Mus musculus: one gene and its partners. Each later gene encodes a partner of the first gene's protein in a complex. Links are inferred from orthologs where the notes say so. Each region holds a gene or a part of one and is shown in the gene's direction. Other genes may lie near its edges. The genes, in order: Iqcd, Drc3 and Efcab2.

The links.
Region 2: Iqcd (region 1) and Drc3 share a complex: the UniProt entries of both Homo sapiens proteins name them as parts of the nexin-dynein regulatory complex. The link is inferred for Mus musculus from reciprocal best matches to the Homo sapiens genes DRC10 and DRC3.
Region 3: Iqcd (region 1) and Efcab2 share a complex: the UniProt entries of both Homo sapiens proteins name them as parts of the nexin-dynein regulatory complex. The link is inferred for Mus musculus from reciprocal best matches to the Homo sapiens genes DRC10 and DRC8.

The regions. Positions count from the first base shown.
Region 1 is NC_000071.6:120,597,606-120,603,730, forward strand, and holds part of Iqcd (dynein regulatory complex protein 10), read left to right. Parts: intron 1-2,422; 5' UTR 2,423-2,513; coding exon 2,514-3,233; intron 3,234-4,720; coding exon 4,721-4,954; intron 4,955-6,125. UniProt on the Homo sapiens protein: Component of the nexin-dynein regulatory complex (N-DRC), a key regulator of ciliary/flagellar motility which maintains the alignment and integrity of the distal axoneme and regulates microtubule sliding in motile axonemes.
Region 2 is NC_000077.6:60,350,656-60,357,537, forward strand, and holds the start of Drc3 (dynein regulatory complex subunit 3), read left to right. Parts: upstream 1-2,724; 5' UTR 2,725-2,777; intron 2,778-3,446; 5' UTR 3,447-3,545; intron 3,546-6,882. Other genes in the region: Tom1l2 (TOM1-like protein 2), read right to left, coding at 2,102-2,153. UniProt on the Homo sapiens protein: Component of the nexin-dynein regulatory complex (N-DRC) a key regulator of ciliary/flagellar motility which maintains the alignment and integrity of the distal axoneme and regulates microtubule sliding in motile axonemes.
Region 3 is NC_000067.6:178,403,543-178,410,399, forward strand, and holds the start of Efcab2 (dynein regulatory complex protein 8), read left to right. Parts: upstream 1-2,475; 5' UTR 2,476-2,560; coding exon 2,561-2,591; intron 2,592-6,857. UniProt on the Homo sapiens protein: Component of the nexin-dynein regulatory complex (N-DRC), a key regulator of ciliary/flagellar motility which maintains the alignment and integrity of the distal axoneme and regulates microtubule sliding in motile axonemes.

The DNA.
Region 1 (6,125 bases):
TTACAGTAAAGAGAACCCAGGCCCCCCTAACCAGACTTAGGTCTCCCAGCAAGGACTGCAATCCAGCCACTGTGCAACCAAAGTTTTAAGTCTTTTCTTTAAAGTTAGGGTTTCTTTGTGTAGCCTTGGCTGTCCTGGAACTCACTCTGCAGACCAAGGTGGCCTCGAACTCAGAGATCCACCTGCCTCTGCCTCTTGAGTGCCAGGATTAAAGGTGTGTGACCCTATGCCCAGCTTGCCAAAGAATTTGGCAAAAATTTCTGATGTCTCCATTGAGTTCAAGACAAACCTTTTACTTCGTAACAATTGTGGATAATATATATCCTCCGAATTCTTCTGAAAGCTCCCCCTGATGTTACTTTATAGGTCAGAACTAAGAAAGTAACATTGCCAGCCCGGGGTAACCAATGACCACACATGCCTGCAATCCTCAGGCTTTGGGGATGGAGGCAGGAGTTGCTACACAACAAGTCCTGGGCCAGCCTGGGCTACATGAGACTCTGTCTCAAACAGAAACAAATATGTAAGTCACTATCCATACAGTTCTGTTAACCAAACCTTGGATTTAGTGACATCCCAGATGTTACCCTGATGCCCTTTCTGTTTCAGAACAGAGCCCTGACCCTTTAACACAGTTTCTCATGTGCTACTGATCAGATCACCAGCCATAAAATTATTTCACTGCTACCTCATAACTGCAATGTAACTATCTTGATATGCAAGATATCTGATATGTGACCCATTCGTGGGGGGTGGGTCTTGACCCACGTGCTGAGAACCTCTAGTTCAGGACTTGATTTGATTTTCAGGAAAATGGACTAGCCTCCTCCCTCCCTCCCTTTTCTTTCTTGTCTTTTCTTCCATGTGTTGGCATTACCGGCCAGCCCCACAGCACCTGGTGAGTAATTATTTTGTTTGTTTTGAGACAGGGTTTCTCGATGTAGCGCTGGCTGTCCTAGAACTCACTCTGTAGAGCAGGCTGGTCTGGAATTCAAGAGATCCACCTGTCTGTGCCTCCCAAGTGTTGTGATCAAAGGCATGCACCACCACTGCCTGGCTTAACTTTATTCATTTACTTACTTACTTACTTACTTACTTACTTACTTACTTTTGGAGTTTTGAAAATATACTTAGGCAGGCCTTGAACTCTCAGCCATCACCCTGCCTGCGCCTCGTGGGTGCTGGTCTTAGCAGATACCACATCTCCTGAAACTTTCTGTACTCTGTATTTTGAAGTTATTGTTACAACTCTGCCCCAGTTTTCAAATCAATACCCCCAAAAAACTCACCCGGCCAGGATCAGGAGTGGTGGCTGTCTTGGGAAAGTACCTGCCACACAGGCATGGTGAGCTGGGTTCCATCCCCAGAGCTCACACGAAAAGCCAAGGACGTAGGCAAGAGTTTGTAATCTCAGCCTTGGGGAGGTGAACCCACTGGCTTGCTGGCGGCCAGCCTGCCCAAGCTGGTGAGGTTCCAGTTTAGCCAGAGACCCTGTCTCAAAAAGTAAGGAGACAGATGAAGAAAGACACCTGATAGTGATATCTGGCCTGCATGGGGACATATAATATGTAGAAGTGCACACATGCACATGTACACACATGCACACACTATGCATACCTGATCACAGATGCTCCCGGTGTGTGCTGGTACACAGTCATCCACCCTGCTTGGCCTTGCCCCTGTTCAGCTCTGTCCATGTCCTGTCCTATCCTGTCCTACTCTGTGTGACCTGTCCTCCTGTGTCAGTGTCTGCTCCTATTCTGTGGCCCATCCTGCTCTGTCCCTGTCCCGTCCTAATGTTCGGCATGTCCTGCTCCTTGCCCCAGACTCCTCCGCATCCTGGCCTGATGATGTGGTACACCAGTGGCCCAGGCTCTTGAGTTGGTTTCCTGCTGGTTTAGCATCAACGTGGGGGGGGGGAATGCAAGTTGGGGCTAGGACATTTCCACTCTCTGATCAGACAGTGCTTGCAGTCACAGCTGCAACTCCTCTGGGGTCTACTGCCCCTGGTGAGCCCAACACATGTGGCTTCCTGCTGCTGGAGCTGCTGGGTGACCTCAGTTGCCTGAAGCTGTCCTCTCTCTGTTTCTGCCTCTTGGGTAACCCTTGGAGGTTGGTCCCCAGAACAGAGGCTGCTTTTTGCCTGATAGATGTGCCTGCAGCTGCCCTCCACCCTCAGGCCTCCTACCCCCACCCCCGCTGGCTCAAGCACCATCACGAAGCCAAAAGATAAGCTTGCCAGGGTGGTACACGCCTATAACCGTAGCCCTCAGATCGGGAGGAAGGGACAGCCTAGGCTATAATGGACCATATCTCCAAACCAAACCTTGAAGACAAAAAAGCTAAAAGTAGCTTTGAGGTTCTGTACAGTGGTCATCATGGCCAATGGCGATGTACCTCACAGTCACCCCTTCCTCTGCAGGGTTACTGGAGGCTGTGAAATCCAGGAGAGCCTTGAGTTGGCGGCTGCCTCAGTACCAGATTATACCGAGGCAAAGGCAGCCTCTCCAGAAATGGCCTTGGACCAGGTCAGCATACCCCCTTCCTACCACGGACTGGCCATCCAAAGAATCCCACTGAGAACAGGTCTAGTCCCAGCAGAGCCGATGAAGACCTTAGTCCCATCCAAATCCAAGCTCAACACCATCGAGGCCAAGAGGATCATGTCAGTCCTGGATGAGGCCATACACAAGATAGAGCTGATAACCCTGATGTCCTACATGGAGTCCCACCCAGAGGCTCTGGAGGACACGCTGCCCGAGGATTTCGTGAGAGCCCTAAGAGAGCACTTGGACATTGGCCAGACCCTGGTGGAGAGGGCCAGCATCCTGCAGAGGAGACACAAGAAGCTGGAGGAAGAGGAAGAAGCCGAGGAAACTAGGAACCAGGAACGCCTACTGTCCCTAGAGCTGCACAAGGTGAACCTGCTGACGCTGGCGCACCAGTTCCGAGACTCCACCAAGACTGTCCTGAGGCTCGTGCTGGGCGAGCCTCAGTTCACCAGGCTGTTACAGGTACAGGCGCCAGGCAGAAGCCCGGGGGCCCAGTGCCTCCTCGACGGTCTGGTGGAGCTTCGAGGTTTCCTCTTTGAGAAGCTCCTCACCAGCCCCATGGAAGTCAGGGAGAAGAACCAATTCATACAGGACATCAGCCGGAGGAGCGAGAGGAACCAGGAGGTCATCGATGACCTCCAGGCTGAGCTGGCCAACGTGCTGAAGAACAAGGAGTCAGAGGTACACCTCCCTAAGGCATCCCCCAAATTAGGGGAGAAACCTCACCCAAACAGGCCAACCCTCTGGGATTTGCCTCTTCTCTCATGGGTTTCAATAGCTCTCTCCCTTCATTTAATCCTCAGAAATTGTTCTGAGCATTTTCCTAGGAGGTCTGTCTGTAGGAAAAGCCCAACCTCCGGAGCTCAAGGAAGGACAAGGGCAGGGCGCTATCAAGGGATGATGTAAGAGAACTAAATCCTGGCCAGAAGGACTAGGGACAGCGCCACTAAGACAGGGAGGACACAGAAAGCGGGATTGAGCCAGACAAGCAAGGCAGACCTTCCCAGCCAGGGGTTGGCAAAGTGTCTGTGTCACTGGCTAAGTGGGTCCTTTGTCTCGGGTAAGATAGACACCAGACATGTGGGGGAGGAGTTGGAGAGATGGCTCAGAGGTTAAAAGTGCAGGCTTTTGTCTGTTGGAGTCAGGGTCTCACTCTACAGCCTTGACTGGCCTGGAACGCCATAGAATCCCACCTGCCTGTGCCTCCCAAGTGTTGGGATTAAAGGCATGCGCCACCACTCCCAGTACACATTGCTCTTACAGAGCAACAGAGGTCAGTTCCCAGGCCCTCTGGCCAGCTGCTTGCAAACACTGTTTACTCCAGCTCTCCCGGGGAATCTCACGCCCTCTGCTGGACACCACAGGCACCTGCATTCACTTGCATGGGGCCAGGCATGGCTCCGTGAAGACAAAGCCTTCTGTGCGAGCCAGGGGATTTGAGTGTGGGCTCCAGAGCCACTCTGTTCCCTGAGACTGGGCAGGCAGGGACAGGAGTCAGTGGCCCACCAGCCTAGCATAGCCAACAAGCTCCAGGCCAAAGAGAGAGGTGTATGACAGTTGAGGCTGTACACACAAAGGCTGTACACACAAGCACACACATGCACACATGCAGGCCACTCTATAGCTGTGAACACAGAGCTGTGACATCCAAAGCTTCCGCAGGCAGCTTAAAGTGCACCTGTACCTGCATTCCAACCAGCCCCACCCCCACCCAGATTTTCCTAGAGAGCGTATTAGAATGAGTCTCAGATCTGTTGCATCTTGGCAGCTGTGGGTCGTCCATGGCTACTGTCTTCCTGCACACACTTGCCAGCTTTCTTTCTGGCTCCATATCCCATCTCCAAAGGGTCACACATCCCACACACTGGGCTCAGTGAGCTAACGGTCTCAACATGTCTCTGTTGTTAGTGTGGAAGCAGCCATGGAGAGTATCAGGACTGAAGGGCTGTGTCCCAATAATACTTTATTGACAGCTATGGCTGGCTGGATTTGCCCTGTAGGCCTTGGCCAACCCCTTTCCTAGGGGAGGGGAGCATGTGGTCCCAGGCCGGAGAGACGCATAAGCCCCTAGGGGAGGGGCACAACCAAAGGCCAGCTGTCCTGTGACTGGGAGTGGGAGGACTGCGTGGCTATTAAATAGGGCCCTGTCCTCATTCGTCCTGGCCTAGGTGGAGAAGGAGAACTTTGTGATCCAGGAGCTGAAGAACCATCTGCACCAGGTGTTCAAGTTTTCGGAGAACAGCCTCCTCCGCACGAAGCAGGAGGCCGAGAAGCAGCAGAAGGTGGATTTCCGGGCCTCCCAGGTCAGGCTGGCCAAGACGCAGCAAGATATCCTGGCGCTTCGGGCACAGTACCACAACCTGGTCATGGAGAACCGGGAGGCAGAGCAGGCACTAAGGAAGGTGCCCTGAGGTCTCAGGGGTACAGTGGGGGTGGGGGTGGGGGTGGGGGGCAGCAGGGCTGGCCCAGGGGTGCGAAAGCCCAAGATAGGTGGGATCTCCTGGGAGGTGGGAAGGGGAAGCAGCCAAACCAAGAGTTGGGTCAAGGAGGTCAAATCCCCATCCCAGAATTAGGGCACTAAAGCTCAGTGACCTCCCCAAAGTCCCTGGGCTCCCCTGAGCCCGAAAGGATGATGGCCCCTTCTTGAAGTAGCTCGTGACCCTCAGGCAAACTGAACAGGACCCTTCCGTGTCTGGTTCTCATGAGCTCTGAGGAAGCATAGCTGGAAGTGTGGGCACAGCGCGTGCTGTGAGCATGTGCCAAGCATGGCTGCTTTGTTTGTTCCCTGTCTCAACCGTGCTCCAACCACCTCTCAAGTCTCTTTCCGAGGACACCTTCTTACAGACCAGTCCCCAGTCTTTTCCAGTGTCCTGACTCTCTGAGAATCTCATGGAAGTTGTGTGTCTCCAGACAAAAGGCCGAGGTCTGCACTAGATTGGTGGACAGTCCCAGAGGGTCACGGGGGTGTGGGGGGTGGGAGTGCTGAAGCCAGCCTGCCTTCAGGGCCCACACTGAGAACAGCTCTGGGGAATCTAGAGGCTCCTTTGGTTTTGTTAAAGACGACGACGCAGAGCTGGGAGGACGGCTCGGCGAGGGAAAGGCCCTTTGCAGTCAAGCCTGATACCCTGAGTTCAATCCCCAGGACCCATAGGATAGGAGAGAACCCATTCCTGCAAGTTGTCCTCTTCCCCCTGCCCACATTCCACTATTGTTTTTGTGCATGCACACACACACACACACACACACACCAATGAAAAGACAGTCAATGCACTCCAAAGAAGTCTCCAACTCACAGCAGTCCTCTACCCCATCCCCCCACTCCTTTGCCAAGGGCTGTGATCACATGCACCCATCACGACACCCACTATCTGCTCCTTTTCATTTGAGGTAAAAATCCACATAAAATACAAATATCCATTTAAAAGCAGCCCACTTGGTATCATGTGGACAGTTTCCTGCAATGCGTCTAGAGGGGGAAAGGAGGTGGGGGGGAGGGGGGAGCACAGCAAGACGGCTCAGTCTTTAACGGAGACTGCTGCCAAGCCGGACAAACTGACTCTGATCCCTGGGACC
Region 2 (6,882 bases), on another chromosome or scaffold:
GTCTGTAATTCCAGTTCCAGGTTCTGACACCCTCTTCTGGCCTCTGTGAGCACAAGGAATCAAGTGGTGTATAGACATACATGAAGGCAAAACAAACACATAAAATTGAAATATTTATATATATACATGCACATATATGTGTTTATATGTAAACACATAAAATTGCAGTATTTACATACACACACATATACATACAGAGAAAAAGAGATACTTGAGTGAACATCAGAGAAAGAAGCGTCATAGAAGTGGGAAAAGACTTTCAGGTCCCAGAATCCATGATCACTTATAAAAGACACTTTATCAAAAAAGAACAGAATGGCAGGGTGTGGTGGCACACACCTTTAATCCCAGCACGTGAGAGGCAGAGGCAAGCGAATTTCTGAGTTTGAGGCCAGCCTGGTCTACAAAGTGAGTTCCAGGACAGCCAGGGCTACACCGAGAAACCCTGTCTCAAAAAACAAAAACAAAAAGCCAAAAGCCAAAAACCAAAACCAAACAAACAAAAAACCCAAAAGGAACAGAATGCTCCCAAATGTCAATCAACAACAGAAAAAGCCTCCGTAAGTTTGTAAGCTTAACAACAGAAAAGTAGGCTATAAATTCATATACAAAGTAGAAACAAGCAAGTCTCTACTGCTTGAACTATAAGACCCATAAGGATAGTACAGAGCCCAGTTCATAAAAGATGATTTCAACCAGCCGGCAGACCCAACTTTAATTTTCAAAAATGTTACATATGTGGGCGTTTTGTTTGCCTGTCTGTGCACCATTTACATGGTATGTTTAGGTATGTATATAAAAGACACCAGAAGAGGGCAATCAATCCCCTGGATGTGAAGTTACAGCCAGTTGTGAGCCACTATGCAGTGCCAGGGCCTGAATCTGGATTAACAGCCAATGTCTTTAACCGGTGAGCCAGTTCTCCAGCCCCAAGTTTGTTTGTTTTTAAAGCTAGTCAGCACTTTTGACTGATCTGTTGGCATAAGCTCCCACCTTGGATGAAAGGCCAAATTGCTTTATTATTCATTACTTGCAGTGCTGGATCCTAGATCAAATCCAGGATTTTGTGTGTGCTAAGTTAATGCTCTACCACTGGACTATTCCCTGGTCTGCCAGTGTTTTCTTCTGTAAGGAAACTTCACAGCGGCCAGTGCCATTCCTTATGCAGCATGCGGCCCGCCTCTAACTCCTTACACTACTGACAGCTGCTCTGATTACTCTACTACCACTTTATGTAGTGGGAGAGCAAGAGGCAATGTAAGGAGACGCTTAATATCAACAAGGAAGATTCAGAACTTTAGAACTTGAAGAGTCCCACCACATCTTATCTCCAAATACCCCGTGTGGCAGACAAGAGAACGTCAAAATATAAAGCGCACAAGGTCAGGAGGAGCGTCCCTGGCAAAGTCACTACTGGAGTCCAAGTTTCCGGGATCCAATGGACTGCTTATCAACAAAGCAGCCCTGCCTCCCTTCTTTCCTAGGAGGCCTAGGAGATTCTGCCGCCACGCCATCCCCCTGCCAAGCCAGTCACTTTCCCCGAGGGCCTCCCCCATCCCAGTCCCTCCTACAGCCTGACTGAGTTGCAGCTCAAATTAGAAGTCGTGCAGCATGGGGCATTTTCTGGGAAAGTGCCCAGCCTCAGAGCCATTGGTACCAATGAGCAGGGACAAGGACGGAAGAAAGAGTTCCATTCCACAAAGGCTCCGGGAGACAGAGGCCCTGGGAGCAAAGGCAGCGAGATACCTGGGGAAGAGTACTCGCAGTGACATCTCCCAATACGCAAGGGTAAGCAGACTAGCATGGACACTACTTCTGGGGAGAGACTTGAAAGGCTGGGCCCTGATGGGCAGGGATGCCGGGGACCTCTCTAAGTCCAATCGGCACCTCGGGGGAGCCTCCTTGTAGGGTGAGGTGGCACCAGCGTCAGGCAGAGGCCTCGTGACAAGGATGCCCAGTCCACCTTTGAGATGACACCACTTATTGGCAGAGGCCCAACCCGCACGTGAGGTGATTTCAGTGCCGGGAGGAGGCCCGCGGATCTCACCAGCCCGGTCAGCCGCTGTGGCTCACTCGACGCCTGCCCCACGCGCGGCCTTACCAAGACACTGCCCTACAGGGGTGCTGAACGGATTCCCCAGCAGGAACTCCATCTCGGCGGGCCTCGTTCCAGCCCGGACTCCTGTGTGCCACGGGTCTCCGCTGCCCGCGCCGCGTTCTGCCCTGACTGACACTTGCCCCCGCCCCACCCTCCGGAACGCTGAGCGCCCGGCCTGACCTCGCCCTCTGGGTGCATCTCTATTGGGCAGCGTCTAACCAGCCCACTTCCGATTGGACGACACTCCACTCTCAGTGAAGTCCCACCCACCCCGCGGCGTCCGATTGGGCACGAAGCAAGCTAAGTCACTAGGGTCTCCGTCAGCCTAGCGGCACAACCCCCGGACCCGCCTCCAAACGAGTGGCCGTTCTTCTTGATTCATTAGCACGTTGGTCAGTCTAGAGAATCTTTACTATTATTGGATAAAAGGTGTGTCAATCGTTTACATAGGCGGGCAGAAAGAAAGCGTAACTAGAAGTTGAAGCTCGTTGACTGTGCTGATTGGAGAAACGTTTGTTTTCTTCAAGTCTGGTTGGTGTTAGAAATATGGCCACGTGACGAATCAACTTTCACCCAGGATATTTATCGCTTGACTTCCCCTTAGCAACCAAGTGGCGGTGTTTGGTTCCCCAGCAACCAAACGAAGCGTCTACTGCAAGGGGAGACAGTCCTTAGGAAGGTAAGAATCAAGAGTTTAGCTCCAGAAGATTAGAGGTTGCATGATTGAGGTCTGTCTTGTAACTCTTCTTGGAGGACTCCGACCTGACCCGTCTCATCTGTAAAATGAGCACACATGTCATTTTTACACTTGTACTGAGACTTAATCGGGCTTTTGAAAAAGAAAAGAGCGTATAAAATCTTAAACTAGCAAAAGCAAGTAGGAAAAGGGTCCATCAGCCAGTTTCCTGGCCTGATTCGTTTCACTGAAAGAGAGGTACCCGATACACTGATAACTCATTCTAGAGTTTGGCTGTTATATCCATCCTCTTGATCTGCAATAAGGTATTTCATTTGGTGCCGTATGAAGTGTTTGCGATGAGAATAAAGATATCAAGGTTCCATCTCAGTCTCTGTCAGTAATTCACTCTATGACTTTGGTCACAGACCCCCCCCCCGGCCCCCCACATACACACATACCTCAAGCCTCAATTTCCCTATCTGGGAAGTAGGGACACTAAGATGTCCCTTTTAAATAGCTCCCAGAACTGGCATGGAGTTAAATAAGTGGAGTGCACTGAGAGTACGACAAGGACTTATTCTCATCAGTTGCTTTTATTCTCATTACTGTGGGACTCATAGGGTCTACATAGTGTTTCAGGTCCAGCTAACCCAGGCTGTTGTTTCCCAGGTAAACCAGTGACGAGGCTACCTGGTTGATTTGTTTGTAAAGCTTTCTGCTGCTTCTCCACATCCTACCTCTGGTCTTCACCAAGGACACTATCATCAGGCAAGTCAATGGGACCCCCATTTGGATAAATTATTGACATCCTCCCCATAGGGGAGGATTCTTTGGGCCTTGTTCTGTAGGCAGAGAACATGTGACAATGTCTGTCCCTAGTGTGCTGGGTACAATAGAGTTGTGATTAAGAAAGTGGATTCTGTGTTAGACATGAGGTCGTGCCTCTTGGTAAATCTTCATATTAGTCAATCGAGAAATTTCTCTTACAGAGATCCCTACTGTGTGCTTTCATAGTTCCATACACCCACTAACCTGTCAATGTTTGTAAGTAGATATTGGGATAATTTATTTAATTCAAGTGTGGTTCAGAAGTCAGGCCACACCTCTTCAGTATCCTTTCACAAGGTTGGTTATAGAGAGCCGCTCTGACCTTGTAGCTTTCACAAAGTTCTCTCTTTCACTCCTTACAGATGTGAGCAAACCCAGCTTCCCCTGATTCCTGGGCCAAGACATACCTGAATTGCAACTTTACTCTCTTAACTAAGCCTGCCACCGTGCCAGGAGTCATGTAGACTAGGTCAGGTCAGGTCACATGGTATAGAACTAAAAGCCACCACTGTCGTTGTCCCCCCCCCCGCCCCCCAAAACTGTGAGTCGTAAGTCCCTTTGTTCTCTGGATCTGAGGGAGCTAATGGAACTGGAAGATTTGTCTTTCTCTTCTGGGCACCATGTGGCTGCCAAGATTCTGATGCAATCTCTCCTAGTGCCCTCTCACTTCAGGGCTCCTCATGGCTGTCTGTGGCCTCGAACCTCTGACTCTCCTAGCAAAATTCTTCTGGAGGGCAATTGATTTTAGCACTACTCCTCTTTCAAACACTATTATTGGGTCAATCAATTACTTTAGCTTAGGCATAACCTTCCAAACTAGATTTTGTCTCAGACCTTCCTATAAACTAAGTTCCTAGTGATGTCCCACCCCTCTGTATTACAACCACTCTGGTCACTCACTTTCCCCTCCCCTCCCCTTCCTTTCCTTTCCATTTTTGTTTGTTTGTTTGTTTGTTTTGACACAGGTCCCTCTGTGTAGCTCAAGCTGGCCTCATACTATGTAGACCAGGCTGGCCTCAAAAAGTCACAGGGATCTGCTTGTATCTGCCTCCCAAGCGCTAGGACTTGCACCACCACTCCTGGCTAGCCTCACTCCTTTTGTAATTCTTGCCACAACAGCTATAATAAAAACTAAAATCCGATCCATCTTCACCTTACAAGCCCTAGGAGCTTGCCAGCCATTATGGAATACAAATGCAATATAGACCCTGTATCACTTCTGCTTTCCAGCTTGGGGTCTTCACTGGGTTATCGTCTCTTCTTGCTTTCTTTTCTTTTTATCCCTCATATTGTATCTTCCCTGATCAAGCCAACTGACCCTACTAGGTGTTTTCACCATTCCCCACACCTACTAAGATGTTTGTAAGTAAATGCTGGTATAACAATTTAATTCAACTCTGAAACAAAGGACCTGTCCAAGGCTCACAGCATGTGGTAGTTATTTGATATGGATGTGTGGACTAAATACAGGTCCTTTCTTAGACAGATGTAAAAAAAAAAAAAAAAAAGAAAGAAAGAAAAGTAAAGAAAAAAAAAAAAAGCCAGGCAGTGGTGGTGCACATCTTTAATCCCAGCACTTGGGAGGCAGAGGCAGGTAGATTTCTGCGTTCGAGACCAGCCTGGTCTTACAGAGTGAGTTCCAGGACAGCCAGGGCTACATGGAGAAACCCTGCCTCAAAAAACAAAAAACAAAACAACAACAACAAAAAAAATTGACAGATGTAGAGTGGGGAGTTATCTACCTAACAGGAAAAAGACTTAAGCCGGTGACGTTACTTTTCAAAAGATACACAGTCAGAGGCAAAGTCCTCTCTGGGTGTAAACATTTAGCATAGTTCTTGCACCAATCCTATACTGCACAGAACCTGCTGAGCTGGACTGAATGCTATCTAGCATGACTGAAAGCTAGTTTGACCTGTCACAGTTAATGGGCTTTGATGAAACAGAGGTCAAAGTTTTGACACCAGAATTGAGTCATTTCCCAAAGCACAACACCCAAAAAAAAAAAAAAAAAAAAATTCCATGTACTTTTCAGATAACATCTGACAAATGAACCACTTTAAAAAATTTCCCCAGAGGTAAAATTTTGAGGTTAGTGGTAAATTATGAGGAACTTTAAGGGAAACTGTTTAGGAAGAATAGGATGCTGATGCGCACAACAACTGCTTGGGAAGACTGAGTCTGTCATTCGGTCACACTGAGGAAGAAGAATCAGTCAGTTACCCTGAGGAGGAAGAGTCAGTCAATCAGCCAGCCACCCTGAGGAGGAAGAGTCAGGCATTCAGTCATCCTGAGGAAGAAAAGTCAGTCAGTCACACTGAGGAGGAAGAGTCAGTCAGTCAGCAGTCACCCTGAGGAAGAAGAGTCAGTCAGTCACCCTGAGGAGGAAGAGTCAGTCAGTCAGTCACCCTGAGGAGGAAGAGTCAGTCAGTCAGTCACCCTGAGGAGGAAGAGTCAGTCAGTCAGTCATTTACTCTGAAGAGGAAAAGTAGACAGGAGAGAGTAGGAAAACAAGGTTGAGGTTTTGAAGGATCAGGGCACAGATGGAAAAAGAGCAGGGACCATGGAAGATACAAACATCCTTCACACTAGATAAGATATCAATGACAGGCCTAAGAAGCCAGTCCATCCAAGTATAACCTGTGAGCCAGTGAGCTCATTGCAGTGACTTACAGAAGGATGAGTGGCTCAAAGGCACCCCCAAATTGGGTGACAAATCATGCCAGTTTGGTCCTAGAGCTCTAAGTCTAACTTACAGATTGCTCTTATCAAAGATAAGTCTTTTCTTCCTCAGAAATTGTTTACTCCTCATATATAAACTCACTTTTCTTTGTGTGGTTGATTTGGTTTGGTTCGATACAGGGTCTCTCTATATTGAACCAAATCAAATTGGCTATCCTGGAACTCACTATGTAGAGTAGGCTGGCCTGAAACTCACAGAGATCCTCTTGCCTCTGCCTCCCTCACAGATGCTCGGATTAAAGGCATGCACCACCATGTGTGGCTCTATATCAGCTCTTCAGCAGCATCCTAGTGTTGTAACTCTGTGAGCTTCCTGCCTTCTATGAGTCACACTCTCTCTCCTGGGAGGAACTTTTTAATTCAGAGGAACTGGCTCTACAACATGGGGTAGGGAGTGGAAGGGAAGAGCAGGCAAGAGTTATTGGCATCTGAATCTTTGATTGGGATAGTGAAGGAATAGAAATAAATACTTATATCTGCTGCATTCACATGGATGGTACCAGAGAAAAGAGGGCGGCAATCTTAGAAGAAAGAC
Region 3 (6,857 bases), on another chromosome or scaffold:
TGTGACTATAGGTGTGAATGCTAAACCTAGATCAACAGTGTATTAACTACCTAAGGTCCAAGCCTTTTGGTTGTAGTTTCTTTTTATTGGTGCTGGGGATTGGACCTAGGCTTTTATGAATGGTAAGCATGTACCTTTTACAGTTGAGTAAAATCTCCATCATCATGCTGACCTTGAACTCACTGCTGTATGAGGGTGACCTTGAACTCCTGATCCTCCTGCCTCCATCTCCCAACTTCCTCACCTGATTTGATGGTATTGTTTTAAATTTTCAAGAAGAACTCAAAGGAGTACAAACTAATATGATTTAGAATAACTAAAATGAAATACTTTATTAGTTTAGTAGAATGTACAAAATGTTAGGAGGGGAGTTACAGAGAAATTTGCTTAACTTTTAAATGTTAACTAGGTCTATGAACAAATGCTTATGTAAGGATTCCATTTTTTTACCATGTGCTGCCAATACTTTTATTGATACAAAAATATAAAGCAAGAGGAAAATCTGTCTTACAGTAAGTTCATTGAATCTGAGTGGCTTGGAAAAGTCATTGAGAACACTAGCTTGTTTTCATTTTTAAGACCTATATTATTTCAGATTAGATGTCAGTGTGTGCACCTGAAGTTCTAGAAACTCATGAAGGCTGAACAGAAGCATCACTTGAGCCCAGGAATTTAAGACCAGTCTGAGCACCTAAAGAGAATCCTTCCTCATACAAAACACTAAAGCAAAGACACAAACTACAAGCTACAGGTGCGTGCGCACACACGCACACACACACACACATCTCTCACACACAATTCCAGTCAGAATGTCCCAGTGTATAGAACAACGTTACTGGCTGGAAATGTATGTGGTAGAAACAAGTAAATAAAATAAAAGCACTATAAACATTTTGAAAACTTTGCCTATGGGACCATTGAAGAGGAGGTAAAGATAAGGGGCAGGCAATGCTCAGGGTCACCTTCCATCAGGAAGGGACAGTTCTCTTCCTTCCCATACTTGCTACAAAGTCCTTCATCTTCAGGGAGAGTAAGGGGAACACACAGAATGTAAATATTAATATAAAATAAATAAAATATTAATATAAAATAAATAAAATATTAATATAAATTACTCTTCCATATTTTGGGGTGATTAATTTACTGTATGCTTGAGTTCATCTTGGAAGTCTTTCTTTTCTTTCTTTTCCTTTCTTTCTTTCTCTTTCTTTTTGTTTTATTGTTTTGTTTTTGTTTTTGTTTTTGTTTTTTTGAGACAGGGTTTCTCTGTGTAGCCCTGGCTGTCCTGGAACTCACTCTGTAGACCAGGCTGGCCTCGAACTCAGAAATCTGCCTGCCTCTGCCTCCTGAGTGCTGGGGAAATTTGCTTGATATGCACCATTTTCTGATTATTCAAATTGTAGTTAGACACTTCATCAAATCTTTATTGCCTATAGAAAAAAATATTTTAATGAAGAGTACAGTTGGCCTGCTTTGAGGGTTCATTCACTGAGATTACAGAACTTCGATGAATAAAAACTAATAATAAAAAATAAAATACTGAGATGTAAAGTGAATAAATAACTATATTAAAGAAAAATCAAGACAAAACAAAGGCCTCTACATTTAGTTACTTTTACAAAAATATTTAAATAAGTACACATATACCATGAAATTATCATTAAAGATTAAAACTAGATATTAATTTGAGTCACATTGTTAGACATTTCAAAACTGTTGGGTTTTTTTTGTTTGTTTGTTTGTTTGTTTGTTTTGGGGGGGTTTCATTTAAGGGAGAATCTTAGTATTCTGAGCTTATCCATCAAATAACAAAACACGCGATAGCCAAGTTTCTCAGTACTCAAAATTCTCATCGGAAGGTCATGCCAAATTGCACCATCAACATACAAAATGTGTGTATCCCTGAGAACAGACCGTCAATTTATTTGTTGCTATGAGAACACTATTTTGTATCAGAAATTGCAGCCTTGGCGACGCAGTGTTTGCGCCTATTTTGCACATGTTTTTCTACAGCAAGTCCTCTCTCTCTCTCTCTCTCTCTCTCTCTCTCTCTCTCTCTCTCTCTCTCTCTGCGATCCCGGGGAAAGGCTGGGCTTCCTCCTGCACTGGCCCATGTCCGTTTTCGCTCCAGTTCCGTGACTGGCAGAGTGGCTCCGCTCAGGAGAGGGTGACGCCAGAGAGCCACAAGGCCTGGCTCGGGTGGGGTTGGGGTGGGCGGACGCTTTTCGGGGAGGGACCGTGTAAGGGGCCGCCAGGTCTGCGCCCGGTTCTGGGGCGCACCTGAGACGGCCGGGAAAAAAAAAAGCTGAATAAAATAAGTAATTAAAGAAATGAATAAAGAAATAAGCAAGGCACACTACGTCCTTGACAGTCACAATCAGGCCCAGGCGGGTTCCGGAGCCTTGTTAATAAATGACGCCCCTAGGCCCAAAGAACGCGGGCCTCGGTTCTGGTGGGGGCGGGGATCGGGGGGCCACCGTGCATCCAGGGGCTTTCTCCGCCCGCGGGGTCCCGCAGGGTTCGTGCTGGATGTCTCCCGGGCGACCGGCTCCGCACCAAGATGGCGGAGGAAAGGGACGCGGAAGGGACAGGTAGGACCCTGCCTGGGGTGCCACGACGTCGCCTCTGCGCCTGAGGAAGCGCCCCCCGGCCAACATCTTGAGCCCCTCGGCGTGGCGACAGTGGGCTGAAAAGCGGCGCCAGCCCGCGTCCCCACCGTCCGCCCTCCCGTCCCCTCGAGAGGTCTGCGCGGGCTGTTGTAGCCCCCGCCGGGGAGGTTCATAATGGCGTCCTTGTCCCTGGCACCTCCCCTCCCCGTGAGGGCGCCAGCCGCGGTCTGGGTGGGCTGTGGGTAACCCGGAGGGCGGCCTCATGGAGGACTGGAGCTGCGACTAGAACCTGGCGGGATCCTCTGCGGCTGTGCCGAAACCCCGCCCAGCCCGGCCCAACCCGGCCCCAGCCGCCTCCATTTTGCCTCCTCCTCCGCCAGGCGGAGCGCAGCCTCCAGGTCAGACTGGGCCCTAGCGGCCCGGGTCGCGCTAGAGCCTTGCATAAGGAACACGCACTTTAATCACTTTAAAGAAAACCCAGCCGGGACTTGTCGGGCCGCCCAGACCGGCCGGGTACCCGAGAGGCCTCAGGGGACCCGAAAAACTAATGTTTCATGTTGAACTGCAAGACCTTTTGAATTGTTGCTAACCCAGCCGAATGACTTAAAATCGGATCTGTGACTCAACAGCCATTACGTGATAAATTGACAACATCACCGCTAAATAAATAGTCAAGCAAGCCCTAAAATAGTAAATGGCAAACATTGCAAAAAAAGTGAAAGTAACACTCCATCTTTGCTGACTCTCTCCCCTCCCTCTTGTATTCCCCCACCCCCACCCCCACCCTCTGGTTTGGAACACAGTAGTTAGGTTAACAACTAATATTTACACGAGTTGTTTAGTCCATTGTCATGGTGATTACAGGAACCCAGCAGGGAAACTTGAGACCCTAGATTTTTTTTTTTTTTTTTTTTTTGGTTTTGGCTGTCCTGGAACTCACTTTGTAGACCTGGCTGGCCTCGAACTCAGAAATCCGCCTGCTTCTGCCTCCGGAGTGCTGGGATTAAAGGCGTGCGCCACCACTCCTGGCAGCTAGAGATCTTATTGATGACCTGTGATTTATAGATGGTAAAATTAATCTCAGAAGTCGGCATTGTAGTATAGAGTTTTAACTCTACTAAGGTATCAAGATTTTTGTGGTGCTATTTTAGAAATGGAAGGTTTTATTCTACTTTTTTGTTGTTGTTTTTACAAAGAATATGAAGTTAGAGGGCAGGGAGTGTCGGTGAGGTGTTGGGGGAAGGGAAAGAATATGATCAAAATATGTTGTATAAAAAATGTTTTAGGTGAGTCGGGGGTGGTGGTGCACACCTTTAATCCCAGCACTTGGGAGGCAGAGGCAGGCAGATTTCTGAGTTCGAGGCCAGCCTGGTCCTACAAAGTAAGTTCCAGGACAACAAGGGCTACACAGAGAAACCCTGTCTCAAAAAAAAAAAAAAAAAAAAGTTTTAGGTAAAAAAAAAAAAAAAGCTTCCCCAGAAAGTATTTTTTTTTTTTTAGTTATACTTTTATTACCCCCCTCAAAAAAAGTAAAGGAGAAAATCATTAGGGGATGAATTATTTTTTAAATTAATTTACCTTATGTGTATTGGTGTATTGCCTTTGTGTATGTCCTTGTGAGGGTGTCGGATCCCCCAGAACTGGAGTTGCAGATGGTTGTGAGCTGCCATGTGTGTTCTGGGAATTGATCCAGGATTCTCTGGAAGAGCAGGTAGTGCTTCTAACCTCTGAGCCATCTGTTTTTTTGTTTTTTGGGTTTTTTTTTTGTTTTGTTTTGTTTTTTAAACAAAATCTAAATCATTTGGTTTTACCAATGAAAACCCGGGAGCCAGAATCTGTGGTGAAAGTTTGCTAGCTCAGAGAAGCAGAGAAAGCACCCAGCTGACCCTGCTCCTCAGCCAGTGTCCCAGACATTGTTTTTTTTTTTTTTTTTTTTTTTTTAAATAATCCTATGTTTACTCTCTGTCAATTGGTTGCTTGTTCCACCTCTTAACTTATGGTTGACTTTATTTAATTTTGTTTATAATATTCAAGCAGAGAACTCTTGGATAAATGCATATGCTAAAGCTGAAACACACCACAACTAGAGACACAATAGGTGTTATTAACACAGTGGGAACAAATATCCATCTCTCCAGACCCCTCCTTTTCTTTTTAAGTTAAAGACTTATTTAGGGTAGCATTGGAGTATACTGCAAGTTTTTACAATGTAAAATTATACACACACACACACACACACACACACACAACACTTAGGATCTCACCTTGTAGCTTTGATTGGTCTGGAACTCCCAGAGATGCACCTGTCTGCATCTGAGTGAGTGCTGTGACTAAAACTGTGTGCCACCACACCCAGCCTGATTTTTACAGTTGTTATCCCTGCTTGAGAGAGACAGAGACAGACAGAATTTCTGTTTCTTTAGTTTCCAAAACATATTTTAATGTTTAGTGTAAGTTTAGGAGAAAAAACAGTTCAGTCTGCAACTAACTGTGGAAGTAATGGCTGTTGAAAGCTGGATTTCATATATTCAATTTCTTATATATTTAATGCTTGCTTCATGGAAAGTAGTCTGGTGAATGTTAAACCTGAAAATTGTGATGAGGAAGATGGAATCCATGGTTGTCCAACTGAAGTAAGCTTTATTAAATACTGGCCAGGAAGATGGACACTGGCCATGTCCCTATGTGGGATTCTTACAGAAATGGTGATGAATTCCATCCTTCAGGTGCCTGTTAGGCCAGGCTCATGAAACTCCTTACTTTCCACCTTGGTTCACTGGGGCAAGCATACATCCTGACTTCCTTCCTGCCTGTGCGTCTCCTGCCTGGATGTGACCAAGCACATCCTGTGCAGTTGGGACAACAAACTTTGTTTATTGAAGGGGAACAGGGATTCATTATCTGACAAAAACAACAGCCCTCTGCATTCCTGGGAGTTATCTGTCCTTGGGCGAGTGGGGTTTAAAGCTTAACTTTAGCCCTTACATCAGGGCAGAACTTTAGTGAATAGCGAGATGAAGAAGGCATTGTCTTTGTCCTCCCCAAAGGGGAGGTTATCAGTAAGGGAGATAAGAGAGGAAGAAATGGAAAACAAGAAGCCAAGAGGAGCAATAGGGAGCCAGGGCCAAGATAAGATCCTCAAGGCACACTGTCCAGCGTCCTGCTTCCTCTAGGAGAGCTTACTTTTCAAGGTTCTGTTCAAATTTGAATCTATCAGTGGATTGAAACGGATTAGGTTGGTGCCCTCAAGATCCGGTTGTCTCTGGAAAAGCCCCTGAAATACATCCAGAGGTATCCAGTCAAGTGGATAATATGGATTAAGAATGGCCTGGGGCCTGGCGGTGAAACAGGATTTTAATCCGAGCCATCAGGAGGCAGAGGCAGGCGGATCTCTGAGTTCCAGGAGAGCCTAGCCTACAAAGGACTACAGGGAGAAACCCTGTCTAAAAAACCCAAAACTTAGAAAAGAAAAGAAAGGAAAAGAAAAGGAAAAAAGAATGATTTGGGATTTTCATGTATTTAAAAAATACTTTCTGTGTGGTTATATATGTTGATGTTATGTTTCCCTGTAGCTTATTTTGTGTTTGAACAGCATAATTTTCTTTTTCCTAGATTTCTGTAATTAGCTAAATAGCAAATGAATTAAAAAATTTAAAACCAAGTTAATTTTAAGTCATTTATCTTTTTTTTTTGTACTGAAAGAGTATTTAAAATGTGATAGAAAAAGCTTCTCTTTTTGAAGTTTTATCATTTCTTTGAAGTTTCCCCAGCATTTTTTGTTTGAGTTTTTTTTTTTTTTTTCCTTTCTGGTTTGTTTTGTTTGCTTAAGTGGATAGTTGATGAGGTTGTCATTTGGTTGGAGCTTTTAATCCCAGTGTTCATGTCTCCTAGAGAATTTTACACAGTACCAGAAGGCTCTTCTGTTTGTAGTTGGAGCCAGGGAACCAACTGCTTAGGTATAGAATTGTAACTTTAGGCAGACCAGAGAGATTTAGAAGTTGTGTCAGTTTTCTAACAGATCCCCTTTCAAACTTATTTTTGGTCTATACTAAATTATTACTTGATATTTTTCACTCTTTGATATCATTACTTAGAAAAATGACTAGTCTAATTATACAAGAGGTTTAACACATTTTGTGTATGTGTGTGTGTGTTTTTTAAATTCTCTGTATGGTACTACTCTGAAACCAAAACATTTAGAAATCTAAATTAAGATGTTGGAGAGATAGTTCGTAGGTAAGAGTTCTT